4 linked regions of the Drosophila melanogaster genome follow. The protein of the gene in region 1 interacts with the protein of each later gene in a pairwise test. Each region holds a gene or a part of one and is shown in the gene's direction. Other genes may lie near its edges. The genes, in order: Hey, CG5550, CG9184 and CG13510.

Evidence for each region.
Region 2: the proteins of Hey (region 1) and CG5550 interact in a two-hybrid assay, tested with the Drosophila melanogaster proteins (one large-scale study listed by BioGRID).
Region 3: the proteins of Hey (region 1) and CG9184 interact in a two-hybrid assay, tested with the Drosophila melanogaster proteins (one large-scale study listed by BioGRID).
Region 4: the proteins of Hey (region 1) and CG13510 interact in a two-hybrid assay, tested with the Drosophila melanogaster proteins (one large-scale study listed by BioGRID).

What each region holds. Positions count from the first base shown.
Region 1 is NT_033778.4:7,994,866-8,000,493, reverse strand, and holds Hey (Hairy/E(spl)-related with YRPW motif), read left to right. Parts: upstream 1-2,215; 5' UTR 2,216-2,401; coding exon 2,402-2,661; intron 2,662-3,074; coding exon 3,075-3,289; intron 3,290-4,030; coding exon 4,031-4,833; 3' UTR 4,834-5,056; downstream 5,057-5,628. Other genes in the region: Dic3 (dicarboxylate carrier 3), read left to right, coding at 5,567-5,628. UniProt on the Drosophila melanogaster protein: Transcriptional repressor which acts as a downstream effector of Notch signaling.
Region 2 is NT_033778.4:16,814,292-16,818,293, forward strand, and holds CG5550 (uncharacterized protein), read left to right. Parts: upstream 1-2,297; 5' UTR 2,298-2,322; coding exon 2,323-2,930; intron 2,931-2,981; coding exon 2,982-3,126; 3' UTR 3,127-3,286; downstream 3,287-4,002.
Region 3 is NT_037436.4:1,320,900-1,324,837, reverse strand, and holds CG9184 (uncharacterized protein), read left to right. Parts: upstream 1-2,031; 5' UTR 2,032-2,055; coding exon 2,056-2,086; intron 2,087-2,135; coding exon 2,136-2,833; 3' UTR 2,834-3,046; downstream 3,047-3,938. Other genes in the region: Myo61F (myosin 61F), read right to left, coding at 209-267.
Region 4 is NT_033778.4:22,655,921-22,662,473, forward strand, and holds CG13510 (uncharacterized protein), read left to right. Parts: upstream 1-1,980; 5' UTR 1,981-2,068; coding exon 2,069-2,355; intron 2,356-3,002; coding exon 3,003-3,105; 3' UTR 3,106-3,791; coding exon of another isoform or gene 3,792-4,057; intron 4,058-4,115; coding exon of another isoform or gene 4,116-4,218; 3' UTR 4,219-4,630; coding exon of another isoform or gene 4,631-4,941; intron 4,942-5,148; coding exon of another isoform or gene 5,149-5,245; 3' UTR 5,246-5,469; downstream 5,470-6,553. Other genes in the region: CG43326 (uncharacterized protein), read right to left, coding at 1-153; CG43325 (uncharacterized protein), read right to left, coding at 433-544, 697-1,058; CG13511 (uncharacterized protein), read left to right, coding at 3,792-4,057, 4,116-4,218; CG42565 (uncharacterized protein), read left to right, coding at 4,631-4,941, 5,149-5,245.

The sequences.
Region 1 (5,628 bases):
CCCACGAGCCACGGCTGCGATTTCGTGGGTTCGTCCCGTTGTCGGTGGTGCAACTTGCCCGCCACTATTCATCCACTTGATTTGGGGTGGGTTCCGGCGATTCGGAGCGAGTTTGTCCCACGCTGGCACTGCCACTGGCATTGGCCATTAGACATTAGGCATTTTCACTTTGCTGCTTGCCGCACTCGAAACCTGAGCGACAGCATGCCGAATCAAATGAAAAGCACTTTTTATAATTTTCGATTTTGATGTACGTTTTTGAAATTGATACGGGGCTCCATTATAGTCAAGCTTACGCCTCGACCATCGAAATTAATCGAGAAAATGGGAGAAATGCTACACTAAATCATTTTGTGGGGGAGAATAACTAATGATATTTCCAGTTATATGCGAAATTGCAACATATAATAGTAAAGGGATATAAAAGTATATACAATAGTATAGGGATTCATATAGCAATATTGGGATTCTTTAGGGTGACAGGACAAAGGAGTTGAAATGAACATTTTAACATAGATATCTACAGAAGAATTATTTTTGCATAACGATAATTCAAGTATAGTTTTTATTAGGGAAAGTTATGTCAAACCACAACGTACATATATATGTAAATATATCAGCTCCACCGTATACTGTTTTTCATTCGCATTTTAATTGTTTTTAATCTACTGCTAGCTTTAAACACACATTCCGTGCGGCTGATATAAGAAATAATGGGAAATTTTGGATGAAATAGTTTATCATAATAAAATTTATAGGTAATATTGACATTGATCAGCTTGTTATATTGAATTTATGAACACAATACTGTCAAAATATATTACATTAAAGTTAATGGGGAAACATTAACCAAAACAGACAGAACGTTAATTTCGATGTTAACTATCTCAGCTTGTAAAATCATTAGAAAAACTGACAAATTTTGGTGGAATAGCGATCAAAGCTGTCAAAAAAAATAGTGAAATCAAAAATATCAAAACATTTTTCAAAAGTTTTAGATTGACAGCTTGTGGCCATTAGACTGGGAGTGGCCAAAATATTTTTAAAAAATATGACAATTTTGCAAAAGTATGGACGTGGCAGTTTTAGCCGGTTTGTGTCCTTAAGAGTAGGCGTTGCAATCTTCTGTAACAATCTAGCTCTTAATCCTAGTAACTAGTTTTACATTCATGCTTTTATAGTTCCCGAGAGCTCAGCGTTCATACAATTACAAGGAACAATTAAGGAAGTTATAAGATTAGCCAATTCAGCAAAAAATTTAGAATGGATTAAATCATGTGAATATTCGAAATGCAGTGACAAAGCGCATCTAAGAGTTTATAATGGCAAATCAAAAAGATAAAGAAAAAGATAAAGCTCACGTCTGCTTTTTCGTAAAATTGTACAACATATTTACGTTTTACCGTCGCCATCCAAGTTCCTTATATCCCTTTGTGATGAAACGCTGCTTTCGATAACATTAAAGTGAATTATTTCCGCATTAGCATATTTCTAGGTAAACAAGTCGATTTTACCTCGGGCAATTTCTAGGTCAACTTCGGTCACCTGCTGCCGCAGTCGTTGTTATCTCGTCTCCTGCTCCTGCTTCTGCACCTGTGGATGTTCCCGTTCCCATTCCGGACCCGGGATGCCGCAACCTTGAGCCGGCACTGACCTAGAACTGTGTGGGCCACCCACCAGCACGCGTCCCACTGCACAGATAGAGGTCAACGGCGGCTGTTGCACTTGTTGGGGCTTTACCCGGCGCCACGCGATGCCACACGACCGGCGCGTGCTCCAGTTTGAGTTCCATGGACGGGTGCAGCCGCTCCAGCGGCAAACAAGTGGACGGCGGACGCCGCCAGTTTGTCGCCCACGGCGCCGATTAAAGGCCGTGCTGCAGATGCTTTAGATGCTTTAGATGCTTTAGAGGCTGCTGAAAGGCTATATCAGATGGTCGGGCGATACAATCGGATGAATCGATGACAGAGGCTTGCTCATTTGCCGGCGCTGGTCGCTCCTTGTCGCACACTCTCACTTGCTCACTTGGCGGCGATCGCCGCGCGGCGAATATGTTTGCTTCCCGTTTCCTACCCCAATCTCGGCAAGCACGCGCTGCGCGTTGCCAGGGGGTGGTTGCTGCTGCATCTTATTGGACGGCTGCCGCAGGCGGTAAAAAGGGGTTGAGCGGCGGCAGCGGAGGGCAGGTCGTCCGCTCGACGTGTGCTACAGAATCAGTCGAACGCCGTTCGCGCACACGATAAGTCACGTGCTCAAACTAGCTCCGCCAGCCCGGTCTAGCCGCCAACTGCATCTGCCTCTGCAACTAGCAGCACGCAAAGCTACAGCTCAGCAACAGCAACATCAACACAGTAGTGTCAAGTGCGCAGGAGCAGCGAGTAAACACTGGTCACCACACACAATGGATCACAACATGCACGTCAATGCGCCATCGCTGCATCACTGGGGCTACGCCGCCGGACCCGGCGTGGTCATGCCCGGCGCCACCGCCACCACACCCCAGAGCCACTGGGTGCCGCCGCCGCAGAGCCACCACAGCGCCCACAGCAACCACAGCCACGGGCATAGCCAGGGCCATAGCCACGGCATCGGCAGCCTGAAGCGGACGCTTTCCGAGAGCGACTGCGACGATCTCTACTCCGAGGAGTCCTCCAAGGAACAGTGCGTACTCGTGACTTCTTATCAAAATTTGTTTTTCAATTTAGTGCACAAAAAGCTATTCGCAGTTCCCAAGTTAGGAGTTGTCTTGTAAAATGAAACCTTTGAAAATACCATGCGATGTGCAAACGTTTTATGTTGCTAAAAAAAATAGTGCGTCATGATATTTACTTAGTGAATCGAAGTCATGGATAACTCCACTTAACGCAAAGTTGCTGATAAACCATCAAAATATAAATCACTAAACTATAGGGTTTTAAGAAAAGATAGATTTTAAAATGTTCTGTAACTTAGAGGTTTTTTTAGTAACACCATAGAGTGTTTTTCAGTCTATGAAAGATTAAGATATTAAGATTAAGAATCTATCATTAACTTCAATCCATAGCTAATAGAAACCCTTTCCTCTGTTCCATTAGAATCTCGCCCAGTGAGCCGGGCAGCTGCCAACTGATGAGCCGCAAGAAGCGACGCGGAGTGATCGAGAAGAAGCGGCGGGATCGGATCAACTCCTCGCTCACCGAACTCAAGCGCCTGGTGCCCTCCGCCTACGAGAAGCAGGGATCCGCCAAGCTGGAGAAGGCCGAAATCCTTCAGCTGACCGTGGAGCATCTCAAGAGTCTGCAGTCTAAAAGTAAGTTTACCAAGCCCACTTGAGCTAGCTTAAAGAGGTTTTAAAAAGCAAATAGGCTAGCTGCACCACAGACCTCCTCACTGAAGTTAAACGCTTCTATGGGTCATTAATCACAATAGGAGCAAATAGAGGGTTAACTTGGGCAGCCAACTAAGTTGGTTAACTAAAAGAAGTAAAGTGTAAAGAAAGTAATTTCTTATTTCGACAGTTAATATTACATTAGGGCCCATTTAGCGCACTAATTAATCAAGGCATATCTGACATACATATGAACTTCAATACATTATAAAAAATTGGAATGGGAAAAACTGCAAGCAGAATCCCTAAACGCAAGCCGCTGTGGGAAACAATTGAGTAACGATATTAAATACAATATGCGGCAAATTATCACAAATCTGGGTAAACAATCCTGACCTGTTGTCCCGAACAGGGTCGAATTGTGGGAAAATTATGATTGCCGTAGGCAAAGCAGGACCACCACCACCAGCGCCAGCCTAGCGCTCAAGTGAATCTCGAATCTCGGGGCTTCCCACGCTCAGTAGCGGCACCACCACGATGGCAACCTTGTAGCCAGGCGCGGGCTTTCACCCCCCGATAGCCACCTCACAACAAGCCATCCCGCCGAAGGACATGGGGGTTGTTCTTTATGCTCGTCGCGTGGGAACAGCTATTTTAATTGTTTGCCTGAACTGGGATTAGACAGCTTATTGACTTTCTCCACCTCCTCGTATCTTGTTGCAGCTCTCGACTCGCTTAGCTATGATCCGCAGCGAGTGGCCATGGACTACCATATCATTGGGTTCCGCGAGTGCGCCGCAGAGGTGGCCCGCTATTTGGTCACCATCGAGGGCATGGACATTCAGGATCCTCTGCGCCTGCGCCTTATGTCCCACCTCCAGTACTTTGTGCAGCAGCGCGAACTGTCGGCCAAGAGCTGCGCCAGTCCGGGTGGCTGGTCTCCGGCTGCTCCCAGCTCCTCCGGCTATCAGCCAAACTGTGCGGCTGCTCCCTACCAGAGCTATGCGGCGCCAGCCAACCCGGGTGCCTATGTGTCCAGCTACCCCACACTAAGTGCCTCGCCCTCTCAGCAGGCTCAGCAACTGGGAGGACGCACCAGTGTCTCGCGGACAAGTGGAAGTGCCGTAACTGAATCGCTGCCCAGCCATGATCTCCACTCTGACAGCAGCAGCCAACAGCAGCAGCAACAGCAGCAGCAACAGCAGCAGCAGCAGCAACACCAACAGCAGCAGCATCAGCAGCAACAGCAACGGACGCAGACAACACCTCAGCCGACGCAGCAGCAACACTATACCCACGACCACAGCGCAGTGCATTCCGAGCAGCAGGTTCCCACCTACATAGAGCTGACCAACAGCAATCGTCCAGCGGCCATAGGTTCCGATAGCCTTAGCTATAGTGCTGCTCCTCAGTATCCGGTCAGCGGACTGCCAGGCCAGGACTACAACAACTCCAGTGTGCTGCAGTACGCCACTCCCAACGGAGCAAAGCCCTATCGTCCTTGGGGCGCCGAGATGGCCTATTGATTGTGGGCATAAGCCTCAGAAGGGATATTTCAACCTCTAGTCAGAGCAGACCAAGTGTGATAGTCTTAAGTTTCGCATCCTACACAGAGAGAAAAAAATGGAGAAACAACGCAGTGAGATTAGCTAGTCCCGTAAGCCTTTAAGCTTAAGTTATACCCTATGATAACTATAACTTTGAACACTTTGTGAATCTATTGTAAATAAACGCATGAGTGTATAAGTGAATATGTTGAAACTCGCTTGATAATTGATATTCGGATCAGGAAAGCCTTTCTAGTTGTTATATTTCGTGAAATCTCGACGTTCATACAGACGGACAGACGGACATGGCCAGATTGAATCAGGTATTGATTCCGATCAAAAATATATATATAATATATAATATATAAGAATATATATAATCCACGAGTAACGGGTATAATTATTAAAAACAATCAAAAAAGTTTAAACAAGTAGTGACGATCCACATTCAAAAATTTGAGGTATATCAATGACGCATACTTTGATTAGTGCTATTATTGGATTATCAGAGAAAATATTAATTTTAACGAACATTCTTGAGGTGCGCTTTGTCACTGCGAGGACTACCAGTTCGCCGTCATAGCGGCTGAATTATCCTTAGCTAAATGGGAACAATTCGTTGCAGCGAAAAATTTACCGAATTCTTTTTAGTTTTACACGTCAGATAGCTTAGGGTTTCTAAAAAAAAATTCCAAGAAATTAAGTTCGGTCTATGGGAGAAGACAGTTCGAGGCGCCTCCCGCGCTGGTGGTTTGGAGGGGTTTGCGCTGCAAT
Region 2 (4,002 bases), 8.8 Mb from region 1:
ATTATTTTACAAACAATTTTTTGATTTTTTTTTTTTTTTTTTTTTTTTTTTTGAGCTTAGAACACGATTTTTTTGGAATTGGCTCGTTCCCAGGTGTTTGGGGCATGCTGGTCACCTTTTGCTCTCGTTGGGGAACTCGACCATAAATTTGCTTTATTTTCCTGTTCTGTTGGATTCGTAACGTTCGTTAGTTTCGCACTCCCCTCGTTGTCAATTTGTTTGGCGATATTTGACAGACGGCGTCCCGTACTTCTAATAATTTTCGAGTTTTGCTTGATCTTTGCTTGGATTTTGCTTATGGGTCTGGTTGATTCGTATCGATTCATTTCTCATACGCGTAGGCATGCCAAGAATTTATGCCATTTTCCACCTCTAATTTATATTCCGTTGTCATCGGCAGAACGGAAAATGGGCTAGGTAGAGTGTATGGGGCAAATATCGTTTATGCCACAGTTGCGACGTGATCGCGATAATCGAATGCGCATGAACTCCAGGGAGCTGACCACGTGTCGCCTGTCAATCATATGAACAAGTTGATATTGATATGGAGCTGGGGTATTCTATCTGGGTTGTCTATCTCTGGCTCCATTAGATAACCCCAATGGCTCTCGGTTAAGTCGGTTTAAAGCTGCCTTATTTATCAGCCGCAACGCACACACAATTGTCGCTGCTGCTGCAATCAATTTCAAAACTGTCACTTTGACACTTGAATTCTGTTCTGTTTTTCTGGCTCCCCAACTCCTATTCCCATTCCGGTCGCCTCCATTCCTCATCGCTGTGCCAAATGCCGTAGACAACACGTCTATTGCCTATATATCGTACACTGAAAAAATAAAACAGGGGTCCTAAAATCCAATTTAGTTCACCTTTAGTTGGTAGCCAAACAAATGACCAATTTTGATTACTTGTACTATTAAACCGACTGCTTAAATAACGTAATATTTTGAATCCAGGTTAAAATGAAATACTTTTTTCCCAGTGTTCTATATGCGTTACTGAATGAGTGTGTAAACATCGAGTATTATGTATTTATCATAAATGCCATTTTATCGTTCTTCAGGCTCCCAGTCGTCTTCCTTGTGGGTTTGTCTTCCTCGCTCTTTGTGGCAAATATTTGTTCATTTGTTTGTTTGTTTGTTTGTTGCTTGGAATAATGGTGTGGCATATGTTGGTGGTACGAGATATGGTAGTAGAAACCAGTGGGAGTGGGAGTAGGGTATTTGTGTGCACTTTGTAGGTGGCTCTTATATCTGCTGTCATTCGAGTTGTCACCTCTCGCCATAGTAGTTTCTTTCCGCCGGCGGTGCAACTTTGGTAGCCGACATGCTCTGTCACATTATTCCAAAAGTTGTCAAAAACCAAAAAAGAAAAAAAACTAAAAAAAAACATAACATGATCTGATGGTGAGGGGTGGTAGCACCTTTGGTGACACCTTTTGACACTTGTCCAAAGTGCATCCAACTGCCTAGAAACAGGAAATGGGAAATGGATTCTTTGTAAATATTTGTATAGCGCTACGAACGAAGTTTTTCCGAGCCTTCAATGTATTATGTTCTATTTTCTGGCAAAATCAGCTAGTCGATCTCTACGAAGAAATGTGATTGCTTATATTAAGCTTATCGTATAATTAGAATTCTCGATAAAAAGTGATTTGTGCTAGTCGGGTAATTTGCTACTAATAAACTCGTGGCGCCATGTTGCAAATTATAGAAGTCTCAAGTTTTTCTTCAAACTTGTTGATATACTTTTTATTTTACTGATCAATTTCAAATAATAATAATTTGTTTATCATGATAGGCCCTTTCAAACTTATTATGAAAATCATCATGGTACGAACCTTATTTATGCCACCTGCTTAAAGATTTAAATCGCATTTCCTTATTCTTATAAGGCGGGTTGAACAATATAACGTCCCTGAAACATGAAACATCCTTTGGAATCATTTTTTAATCAATTATATCCTTTGTAAGGACTTTAATTGAGTGCCTTGAAATATCTTTCATTAGTACAGTAAAACTTTGTTATACCCAAAAATACAATTGGGGTTTACCTTGGAATTATCAACGTTGTCAAAATGTAAAGATTGTAGATAGCATATTCCAAGAAAACTCCCCCATAAAGATGACTAACTGTCTGAATAGTAGTTTCTTATCTCTTGTCCAAATTAGTTACTAAAAGATCGTAGAGGGGATTTAATCAAAAGGGGTTTATCAACTGGCTGGTCGAAAATGACCAATAGTAAAAATATGATAAGAAGTATACAACTGATATAAAATGGTTTGTCTTGGCCAACTGATTTGATAGTCGTTTCGAGCCAACACAATGAAACCCATTTGCTTCGCACTCTGCGTATTTTCGCTAGGCCTTTTCTATTTGGCCAGCGCTGAGATTGGTGAAAATGTGAAGATCCAGACGTACAAGAAGTATAGTTCATCCTGCAAGGAGTTGAACCCAAAGAAGAGCGGTGTCCAGAAGATCCAAGTGGGCTCCGATGTAATCGAAGTGTACTGCGATGTGACAATCGCCGGAAAGGGCTGGCTGGTCGTCCAGCGAAGAGTCAGTGTGGAGGAGAACTTCTACCGCAATTGGACCTCTTATCAGACGGGTTTCGGTGACCTTAAGGGTAACTTCTTCATCGGATTGAATAATCTGAACAAGATCTCGTCCCTGCAACCCCAAGAGTTGTATATTGAGTTGGTGGACTTTGCTGGCGAGAAGCGGTATGCCCACTACAGTGTGTTTCACGTGGGCAACGTGTACAGTAATTACCCGATAACCCAGCTGGGCGCGTACAGTGGAACCGCCGGAGACAGTTTGAGCTATCATCTGTACCAACCTTTCAGCACCTTCGATAGGGATAACGACAATGCCACTATCAACTGTGCTGCCAGATATATGGGAGCCTGGTGGTACAGAGAATGCCTTAGCAGGTAAGGTTTTTGACCTTTTCCCAAGATTCCAAGATCATAGTACTCATAAAGAATCCCTTGCAGCAATCTGAATGGTGCATATCTGGGTGGAAACCACACCGATCCCGCGCTGTTTGGCTCTGGAATCGTTTGGGGAGAATGGAAGGGCTTCACATACAGCTACAAGACTGTTAACATTATGGTGCGACCAAAATAAGTCCTTGATACTTTAGAAGTACTTGTTTAACTGACTAGATAACTGCCTAAAACTATGAGCTGATTAGTTATTTGCTAACAGTAAAAAACTTACCAATAGTTATACATTCAATTTATTTATTTACCTATTTTAATTATGTAAATATATCTAAATAGATTGCACAGCTTTTGTTTTATTGGCCTAAATATTTGAACGATAGAGAGCAAACACTGGAAATCCCCTTCACATTGTCCGTTTATTTGATCGCTATTAGGTTGGAATAATATTGCTTACTTCTTGTAAAACGCATAATGCTGATAAGAAACTTTTTCTCGCATTTGCATCGCCGTTCAAGTTCAAGTTCTCAAGTTCTGTTTGCAGATATCAAATTGTGGTTTATGAGAAACATTTGTCGGGCAGCCCAGTTCCTGCCCAGGCCCCCATTCCCGTTTCCAAAGTTCTGATGGGGAGTGTTGTATATCCGCTTGTGTATCCAATAACCGCAGCGCAGCCCCCAAATGCTTTTGTTATTTATTATCGGGCTTTTGGACTCGGGTGCACGGATAATGATGATGACTCAATTGACGTACAATGGCCAACTTTCAAGTGAAGTAATTAAAGGCAAAGTATCATATCAAATTCTCCCCATTCATATTCATGTTGGGACCCCGGAAAATCAGCTGATCTCGGCAGTTTCTCGACTCACGGCATATGGAGTGGAGTATGACAAATGTATCGCATATCGCTATATCGCTCCACGGTCATAGTGTGCGAAACCTCGATAGCCCTACTTAGAAAGAAATATGCCATATACCGCAGTTTTGGGTCTGGGAATGTTGGTGGGAACGATTTGATTTGGGCACTTTTTTCAATTCAGCTGCGGAAGTATCAATTCGT
Region 3 (3,938 bases), on another chromosome or scaffold:
TCACGATACGTCTTTTTCGCATGCGTCAATCCTAAAGATATATGCGTTCCCATCTCCCATCATTCCGAGCAACCCAATGTTTTCAGTTGATTCATAATGTGGTTCCTCCTAGCTACGCGAACCAGTTTCTTGGTTTTTAGATAACTAATCAAGAATTATTCTATATGATTTATAATCTATTCACTTTCTTTATCTTAGCACTGCTTACTCTATGTAGTCCTTAGTATCCATTATTGCGAAGATCAAGGATTTGATTTCAATGTACATAAGGAATTCCTTTACTTAGTTCTTGCTCCACAATTAGCTAATTTCATAAACTTGCTTCTCCAAAATGTAAATTATAACTTAATGCTTTCAAGATTTCTAGATGACTGCCGCGCTTTCGGGACATTTCTGAGTGAGTCAGAGCTCGAAACTCACAACCCCGACTCAGAAAAGTGCTCCAGCTCACATTAGCACTGTGTTATCAGCTATCAGTGTGCTAAATAATAAGTCATTGCCGAATGAAAACATTGTAAGTACACACACTAGATTGCAATTGCCTCCACCGCCACTATTGTGTGTTTCCATCCACTCTGCGCCACTTGGAAGGGGATTTGCTGTGTGGAACTGGAACGAATGCCTGACTAATTGCGAAATGTTTGCCGGGAAGACTTCCCAGGAATTCTCGAAGAGACCGGCAGACACGTCCCAGTCGTTGGAGCCGAGCTCGCCGTGATTCGATGTTTGTCACATAATTGTTTAATTGCACGTAGGGCAGATGGAAGTGGATATCGATCATGTCGAAAACCATATACGAATACATCACCCAATGGGCACAGCCATTTGCAGTCATTCTGCAATCACTTTAGCACTTTTGACAAACCAACCATCGCCTAAGATTATGCTACGTCTATTTAAGGAATCCACAAGTTGGAGGGCAGGTGAGTGCAGATCTCATGGAACTGTTTGGGATCCAATTGACACGAGTATATGTTGTATGATAAGAGAGTTGCCAAAGTTGACTGGGTGGCGGGGCAAGCCTCTACAGATACTTTCATGATTAGATAAACTAGCTGGGGGATATAAAATGAATTAAACTGTAAATATTAATGAGTGTGTAGTCATTATAATTATACTTTGCTCAATATCCCTGCAATAACACGGTTTCTCCCTACTATGAAGTCATTGACTTTCTGTTCCCTGGGGGCGTTGCTTTTGTCGGCTTGATCCACTCTTTCTTTAATCCCCATTCAGCGGTCTAATAGAGTGGGGAACTGGTTTCCCGATCCAGAAATACTCCAACGGGTGATGTAACAGAGAACTCCACATTTTGTTGTATCAGACGACTCGTAAACATGTCTACGACACACGACCTATAACGGAACCCAAAAACCATGAGTCCCACCCAAACGAAAAAGTTCCTAACCCATTAATCGCACACCGAAAGAAATAGTCGAGCATTAAGAATAGGAAACCAAGAGGCAGAGGCTGATTTGCTTTGTAGCGAGATGGAGAAATACATTCGTAAAAAGTAAAGATAAGTTCTAAAGACGGAAACTCAACGATAATACAATAAGTTCAAGGGCACATATTTCCAAAAAATTTGTTGCCAACTCAAGAGCTTTGCTGAATATTTTTTTGTTCAGTGGCATGACCAACCTTCATCTGCATTCAAATGTCGTCATATATCAAGCAGCAATATCGCGGGATATTGAACTCTTCGAATTCATTTGGAAAAATGCAGGGCTGGCAGAACGATCATGGAAGTGGAATGAGAAGTGGAAAGATCCCACAAAGCCCCTACAAGCATTTATATCATATGCAAATTAATGAGCGCAGTTATTAGAACGGTGCTTGATCGATCCGAGATCGAGATCGAGTTCGAGCTGGAGCTGGAGCTGGGGATGGAGATGGAGATGGACACAGAAGAAAGAAAGGCATCCCAAATTTGGGCCACTGCATGGGTTATTCTAATGAGGAAACCGGGAACGAGATCCCACACATCTCATCACAGATGCACCGCGTATAAAAGGGCAATGCAACTGGAGTGGTCAGGTTATTCCGAGAGAGATCATGGATCGGAGAGTGACTGCGATTGGTTTGGGTGAGTACGGACGATCGGCTGCCTAGAAAGAGTGACACATCCTTTTCAGTTATCCTGCAGCTGCTGGTCAGCGGCCTCTGTTTCCAGGAGAAGGCGCCACTGCAGACGAGCCTGGTCAGCGGACAGGCCAGGACCGAAAAGCAGCAACAGGTGCTGGACGATCCGCTGGGAAGTGGACGCGGGATTGACGAGCACCTGCTGAAGACCATTGGTAAGGGCGGCATCAAGCTGGTGATGGCCTCGGGAGCCCCGTCGACCACCCCGAAACCGTCAGTACAACACCATTACTATTATCCACCAGAGGATCAGCAGCACCCACGGCAGTATGGCTATCCACCGCAGTGGTCGCCAGGACCGCCCGCTTATCCGCCGCCACCGCAGCGTCCTTGGGGGCCACCCCCTCCGCCCGGACCACCGCCGCCAGGACCTCCTCCTCCGCCGGGACCCTACTACAATCCCTACTACAATGGCTACAACTACTACGGCGGATATGGCGGCTATGGATATGGGGGCTTTGGATATCCCGGCTTTGGCGGCTATTCTGGCTATCCCTACTATCCCTTCTATCGCTCCTCGACGGCTGGCGAGGTCGATAACCAACTTCCCGGTGCCGATGGACTCACTTCCGCCGCCATTCCTGGCGTTTTCCAGGGCAGGGCCGTGCTGTCCCACCAGAACTTCCTCGACGGCAGGAACAACGCTAACGTTGTGCCACTTTATCACCTACTCCAAATGGCCAGGGCTTGAAGTACTCTAATCCAATCATTGATTAAAACTTAATAAATTGTGTACCATGTATATTCCGAGTAACCGCGTGATGCATTGTAGTTCTTACTTATCATCGCATGCGTTCTAGTTTATAGCCCTATTCAATATCTAATCGATTCTGACTGGATAAATGTTTAAAGAAATCGTCCAACTGAAAGCCCATAATAGTAGAAACAGAATTGCAGAAAGGAGAAAGGCAGAAGGTGTTTCTATTAATCCACTCGAGATTGACGATTACTTAAACCCTGATAATAGCTTTGCCAGATCATCCAACTGAATGGATCGTTAGATTATAAAGAACCCAGTTGAGGCCGCTGACCGAGAGTAAAGATGATCGAATTCGTTCAAACGATCGTCATCATCGTCATTTCTCGCACCCGCAAAGACTGGAAATTCAAATTCAAACTGGGCAAACTTATCGAGCCGGTTGCAAATACATATGTATATAAGAGAATCTGGACGCTCGGTTGCTGAGTCACCCGCTTTTAGGGACGAGTCTTCTGGGCACGAGGAGATCTCGAGGAGATCACGCCGCCATTGTGACGCATGCCAAGTGCCTGGGTCTCGGTCTCGGATAACCATTAAGTATTAAACAATCACTGGGGCCCGCTGTTTTCTTAGCTCACTGCGAGCCATAAAAAGCGTCAACAGCTGAGGCCGATCTTGAACGCGATTTACTGCCAATTGCAAAAAAAAAAGAAAAAATCTGCTGAAAGAGCTGCCCAAAAGCGTTTCGTTTTGTTTCGTTTTTGCCTTTCCTACTGTTTTGGCCGCTTCAAAACAGACTTTTTGCTCGTACTCACGTCGAATAAGAGTTTGGAGTTTGGGATTGGGGCTTCCACGAAAAGCCCTTACTTGGCACTTTACCGAACCTGAGCAAATCCGAGGTGCGATGTAATGGTGATCCCAACACGAGCTCACTCAAGCTCACTCCTCCGTCGAAAGAAATGGAATGGAGTGGAAGTGCTGGCTCCGTGTTCTTGGTTCCTCGCCAGTCGAACTTTATGACTAGTGGGGATTTTTGCTATAATTGTACTTGTGCCATACAATTGATTGAATGGGGCATATTGCCACATGGCCAATT
Region 4 (6,553 bases), about 15 Mb from region 1:
CTGGTAGCTGCTGGGTCCGATGCTGAAGAATCGCACCTGGGGTTTGCTAGGGCGCTCCTCCAGCGTGACAGTGGTGGCCGCCGACTGGCTATCCCTGTCCCCCTCCTGGAGATCCACCTCCAGATCCGCATCCAAGTCGTTTCCCCGAGACATTGCGACTGGCCGGCGTCAAGTGCTAAACATTTTGGCGAATCCCGAGGCAGTGAAATTCGAAAAAGAGATCTATCTGACCAAAGAGATCTAATTGAAGAGAAACCACTGAGAGAATCATGCAGCAATCAACAATTTTTTGGCACTCGGCTCTTCAGTCTCAGCAGCGCTCATCACTCGCCGCAAGGTCAACAAAAAGTGCTTAAAAACTAAACAAAACAAACAATTATAAGCGGAGCACCCACTCCGTTTGCCCCAACCCACGACCCCCATCCCTTCATCTCACTGTCTTTTCCATGCCCCCAAGAGGTAACCACACTTGCCGCAGATGACCTTGCAATCGTTGGTGGAGCGCCTCGGGCAGCAGGGATAGATGGGCAGCAGGGCAAAGCAGCTGGAAATGGATAAGGAAATAATCTGAATTAGAAATATAAATACTTCCGATCTTTGTTATTATCCTAATAGCCCTATACTACGATTAAATAATCTTATTTATATTCCATCCTAAGAATTTACTTTAAAGAAATGTCCTGGCCTTGCACTCACCACATGGTAAGGAGTCGCTCCAGGCGGACTCCCTGCTCGTGCAATCGCTCGTGGCACTCCGGACAGTACATCTGGCGGAGGCAACTAATGTTGGTGGCAGCGGGCGGCGGAGGTGATACCTTCTCGGCCAGTTGGCCTGTGGAGTTGCTCTTCCGGCAGAAGTAGGTATCCGGCTCGGAGTCCTCGGCATAGCCGTAGGGATAGCCTCTGTGTGGGGGCGTGGCCAGGAGCAGCTGGTCCAAGGCCTGAGCCGACTTCTGCTTGACCTGGCCGCAGTTGGGGTTCAGGTTAATCTCCACCAGATCCGCTGCGAACTCCTCGTCGTCGGGAGCTTGAAGGTGGAACTTTAGCTGACGGCTCATGTTGTTGAACTGACTCGACTCGGGTTTTCTATTTGCCTATAAATTGGGTTATTTTACAATTGAAACATAAGAAACATAAGTCAAACAGCTATCGCTTGGCGAGGGGGATTTATTATTATATTTTTTGGGCTGAGGGGGGAGTTAGACAAACCAGTTGTTCATCTGTTTGTCAAGCCCCCGTATTTGCCTAACACTATTTTCATGGTTGCGATGTTAACGGCTGCACTTGAACGTAGATCCCATGAGGAAAGCTTCCACAAAGCTGCCGGCGAGTGGGTGGTAAATGGAGCTTTTTCTATAAAAAATATACACAGTTATCTTAACCCATTGAAGATCGAAGTCTGTTTTTATTTTGACTTGAATAATTAAGACATTTCATAAGGTTTTTCAGGAAATAGTATCAAGCACGGAAAATATATATATTATTTTTAATCACAAATTAAGCAAGTTACACATTAATATCCAATATCCAATAAATAATTAAAAAAAATAAAGGCTTCACAAATGGAATGATGATGCTTCAACTGGCAAAGAATCATATCTACATATGTACATATATATAAACCGGTCACGCATTTGGTAAATTACAAAAATATTATATTATGGCGAGAGCACTCGAGTCGACAACCTGTGTTTGTTTATACTCTCTCCTCGCAAAATACACGTACTAAATGTTACATATGTATATTTTGGCCTTATTCATTGCCTTTATATGCAATAAAGGTGTTATCAAACAAGTGACTCATCTGTCGCCTATTCGGAGGAGAAGCATCGCTGTAGCTCACTAAATCAAGTGCACAATAAAAGAGGTATCCGATTATTAGTTCGACAGAAACCCCACTTGTATGGTAGCTATCACCTCTCGACGATAAGATAGTAGCCAATCGTTGAGGTATTGCGGGAGCCACAGTTTAAGTTCGTTCCTCAGTGCAACGCCAGCCAGCAAAGCGATCGGTTCAGTTCGGCCGGAAATCCAGAGTCTGCATCAAGAAGAAACATAATCCGAAACTATGGACAGCAAGCAGCCTCCACCGTACAGTGAACAGTCCGGATACACTCCCGCACAAACCTATCAGCCCGGTGGCCCCACCCAGCCACCACTGTACCCACCGATGCCGCAGCCACCGCAGTCCTCAACGGTGATCATCCAGACCACCACAACCTCCAACCTGGTGCCCATCGGCAGTGGACCCACCCGCATCCGCTGTCCCTCCTGTCACGCCGAAGTACTGACCACCGTGAAGTCCACTCCTTCCGGCAGGACGCACTGCTGGGCCCTCATCCTGTGCCTGTTCATGTGAGTCTTATAGTCACTAGTCATCTGATCTGAAGTCACTGCTTGCCACCATATGTATGTATGTATGTTGATTGGTCTCAGGAGCTTTGGGCCAACGAAAGTATCTTAGGGGGGACTTAGTGCTTCATTAATCCAGTCAAATGACCTTTTTATAAAATTGCGCAAAATGGAGTAAACCATTTTTAAAAGCAATACAAATCGGATATGTTGCCTATTAAATTCAGTAATATACATAGATGATATGATATCCTATAGATGATATCCTAACAATCTAGATATGTTTTCGTATCGCCCAAGCAGAAATGTTCTATAACCATTTTATTGCCAACTCGTTACAATAGCTCGGTTAAATGTTAAAAAGCTACGCCCATGAACCACTTGCGGCCCCTTATCGCTTGGAAAAAACAATAGGTTTCTACAGGTATTGCGACTGTGTGTACTGGTAATATGTGAAAACATTGTTATCTCAACTGGAACTGGAGTTGAGTCAGATAACGAATCCGAGTGGAAAGACGGGGTGAAAGCAAGCAAACTGACTGATTACGGCCTGTAGACGTCGTAAAGGCCAATTCGGAATTAGTGCTCTGACTAATAGTTTAATTCCCCGAACTTATCTAATCGATTCGTTTTCCACTCTATCCACACAGCTGCTGGCCGTGCGTATGCCTACCTTACTGCATGGACTCCTGCCAGAATGCCAACCACTACTGCCCCAACTGCAGCGCCTACATCGGCACCTACGAGAACTAACTAACTAACGCCTATTTATGCATACAAACGTATATACCTATAGAGAACCCTAAGCACTAGCGTCATAACCGAGAAAAATTGAACTGTAAATACACATGTACGAACGCCACACATTAAACTCATGAGACTCACACAGGAAACAGAAATGCGACAAGATATCTTGGGACAAGGCACTCTTTCCGCTAAATGGATTATGAAGTAATTTAATATTTTCAGAAATGTCTATGATAATGTTGACATTATTTAGTATTTTCCACTACATTTTGTACTGGTACTAAACAATTTCGATCGATCATTACGAGAAACCAACGCCAACATTTTAATGACCATTTTAAAACAATCTTTTTACTTTTTACTATCGCTTAAAAACCGTAATCAGTAAAATGGATCATAAATATCATAAATAGCTAAGACTATATCAATTGTTGTCTAGGAAACATAAACCCTTCTGGCACCTACTCAAGCCAACAACTGGAAATGGCCAAATGGCACAGAGCTACTGGAACCGAATGTCAATCGATTAGGTACTGCACTGGCCGACTCCTCTTGTACCCCTCCATATCGTCATAGTCATAGTAGGTTTCACCTAAAAAGTACTTGTCGATTAGTCAGAAAAGATAACGATTGCGATAGAGCAATGTTGTCATTAAATGGCGGGCTATTTCAGTGCATGCCCCGCCGCAAACATGAGCAGCACATGGATGGGCAGAGCTCCAGAACCGGCCGACACGGAAATGGTGACCGTAACCACGCAGCCAAACTATGGGGTGGTGGTGACCCAGATACCCGTCTACACCCTGAACGGAGTGGGGCCGGGCGCACATCCACTGGCTGTGGGCTGCAAGCCGATGAGGGTGAGGTGTCCGTCCTGCAGGGGCGAGGTCACCACCAGTCTGGCCACGTCCCCCACCCGCAAGACCCACATGTGCGCTCTGACCTTGTATATCTGCTGGTGAGTGGGGCGTCAGGATACCACCGGGCTTACTAACTTTGCTAACCTGATTCTCCAGCTGCTGGCCCTTCATCTGCCTTCCCTACTTCATCAACTACTGCAAGAGTGTCCAGCACTACTGTCCCAACTGTGGATGCCACATTGGGAGCTATAGCATTTGATCAAGTGCTGTGTCTCCGCACTGCCAAAAATGCCTTCCATGTCAAGACTTAATCAAGATTAGCCATATATGTATACAGATACATAAAATAATAACGTTTTAAATTTAAGTTCTTTTTGTTAATGACGGATGGTTTCTACTACTCTCACTGCACATATGAAGTAATCTTTTCTGGTCCATAATTTCCTCACCTAGTGTGCCAGTAGATAGATTTTATATTCGTATTAGGATAAATACCCAGAATATGAGGAAAGCGAATCAATTGAATACCGATACCGATAAGGCAGTTCTGAGTTTAATGAAACTGTCATCGATATACATATACGGAAGCTTTCAGTATTATATCAGTGCTCGTTCGCAGCTGTAAGCAACTGGTTGATATTTTTAGTGTGATTTGAAGAGTATAGAAAAGCATGCGTTGCTACAAGCGCGTAGACTCCCCGCCGCCCTACTCGGATCCATTCGCCACCGCTCCTCCAGCGGAGGACGTCATGCAGCAGAACCTGGCGTCGCCCGCACATCCCAATCCGGTGATACCCGTGATGGCCCAAACCATGCCGGTGTTGCAGCCCGTAAGCGTGATGCATCACCAGACGACAGTGCTGGTGGACAATACCCGCCAGGGAACGATCTGTCCCCACTGCAACGCTCGGATTCGCCTTCGCGTGGAGCACCATCCTACCGGATCAACTTACTGTATGGCGGCGTTGCTCTGCCTATTCCTGTAAGTAGATCGCATTTATGGTTGCAAGTATAGCAACAAAGGTTTGTACATACATAATGTGTATGTAAGCAAACGGAAAAAGAAATGTTTTTACTAGTCTGCTATATCTGTGGCCGCAATTGTTTTGCTTCTTCCTGGACAAGCTATGAGAAATTGCTGATCGTGCCTTATAAGCTATATACTCTATTTCCCATCTCTATCCACCAGATGCTGGCCCTGCGTCTGCGCCCCTTGCTGCTGCAACTGTTGCTACAAGACCTCCCAGTACTGTCCCAACTGCAACTCCTGCTTGGGTTCGTTTTGAAGACGCAGCGAAAACACTCGCCGATTTCATATCATTTCATTTTATATATATGTATATATATATACATAACCAACTATACATACATATATGTATGTATGTTCATATCTCCTTATGTATCGACGGCGTCAATGTGGTGTCTTCATCACTTAACATACATAAAAATATGTTTGCTTAGTGAGCAAAATAAGCTGACAGCGAAAAAATAAACAAATAGATTTTGAAGCGAATGGAATTTTCTTTAATTTCTGTTTCTGGGTATCTGGCTACATTGTTGCTGCAGACAACTAGATTTGCAGAAAAAATAATGTGAAACTTAATTGTTCATACGTTTTTTTTTTTTGTTTTTGTGTACTTTTTGGCGGTCTTTTCCCGAAACTTTTTCGTAGCACAACTCTTTTGTGTCCAGCAATAAATGTTGATATGAAACTGTTTTGAACCGGTAAAATGTTGCTGGGACGAACCGGCATGTTGGCACAGTTTAAATTGATGCTAAGATGCTTCAAGATTACTGTTCATGCTATTAAATGAAATCACTGAAGTTCTTTGCATTATAATTGAATATTTAGTAAAATATTTGAATTTCTGCTAAATGTTTAGTTCTTAAGAAATGGAATAAAAGGATTTTAATTTAACTCAGCCTAGGGATACGCTGTAATCAATTTTAAGGATGTATATAAATATCACTTCCCAGTTAGGCAACATAATGTTGCTAACGGAAATACTTTTGGAAGTGTAGTGTCCCGCTTCGCGCCCTAAACTTCTGACCGCACAACACTTTCGCAGCCCAAACAGTGCGCATTAACTTTTTGTCTCTCTGTGAAATCGGAATTCTACTTTATTTATTTTGACAACGTACCCACCCATACAGATTGTAAGTATGACGGGAGAGATATATTATGCAAGCCTAGGATTGGGTCAAACATGAGCAACGGACTATTATAGTCAGGTCTAATTGGGTAATATCTGGTTGTTTAGATGTTTACCGCTGCTTTGCCGCTCCCCAAAAAATTTACTTTTGCTTGGGGGAGAACTCAGCAAAGACATACAGGACGACAGTAGGATTTCGGGGGGAATGTTAATCACTGGCGACGGACACACCCGCTGTTAAATAAGGATACTGTGCTGGGTGGTTTGCGCTAGTGAGAACATACATAAATAGATTGTGTTGATTTTGGATAGGACCAGACCGAGCAAGCAAGTTGCACCAAACGACGAGCAAAGATGATGGATGGAATCGGGGTTGAGCGGGGCTCAGACACACGCGGTTGTGCGATGACGGCGTCGGCACGAAGCTTGCCACATGGCACA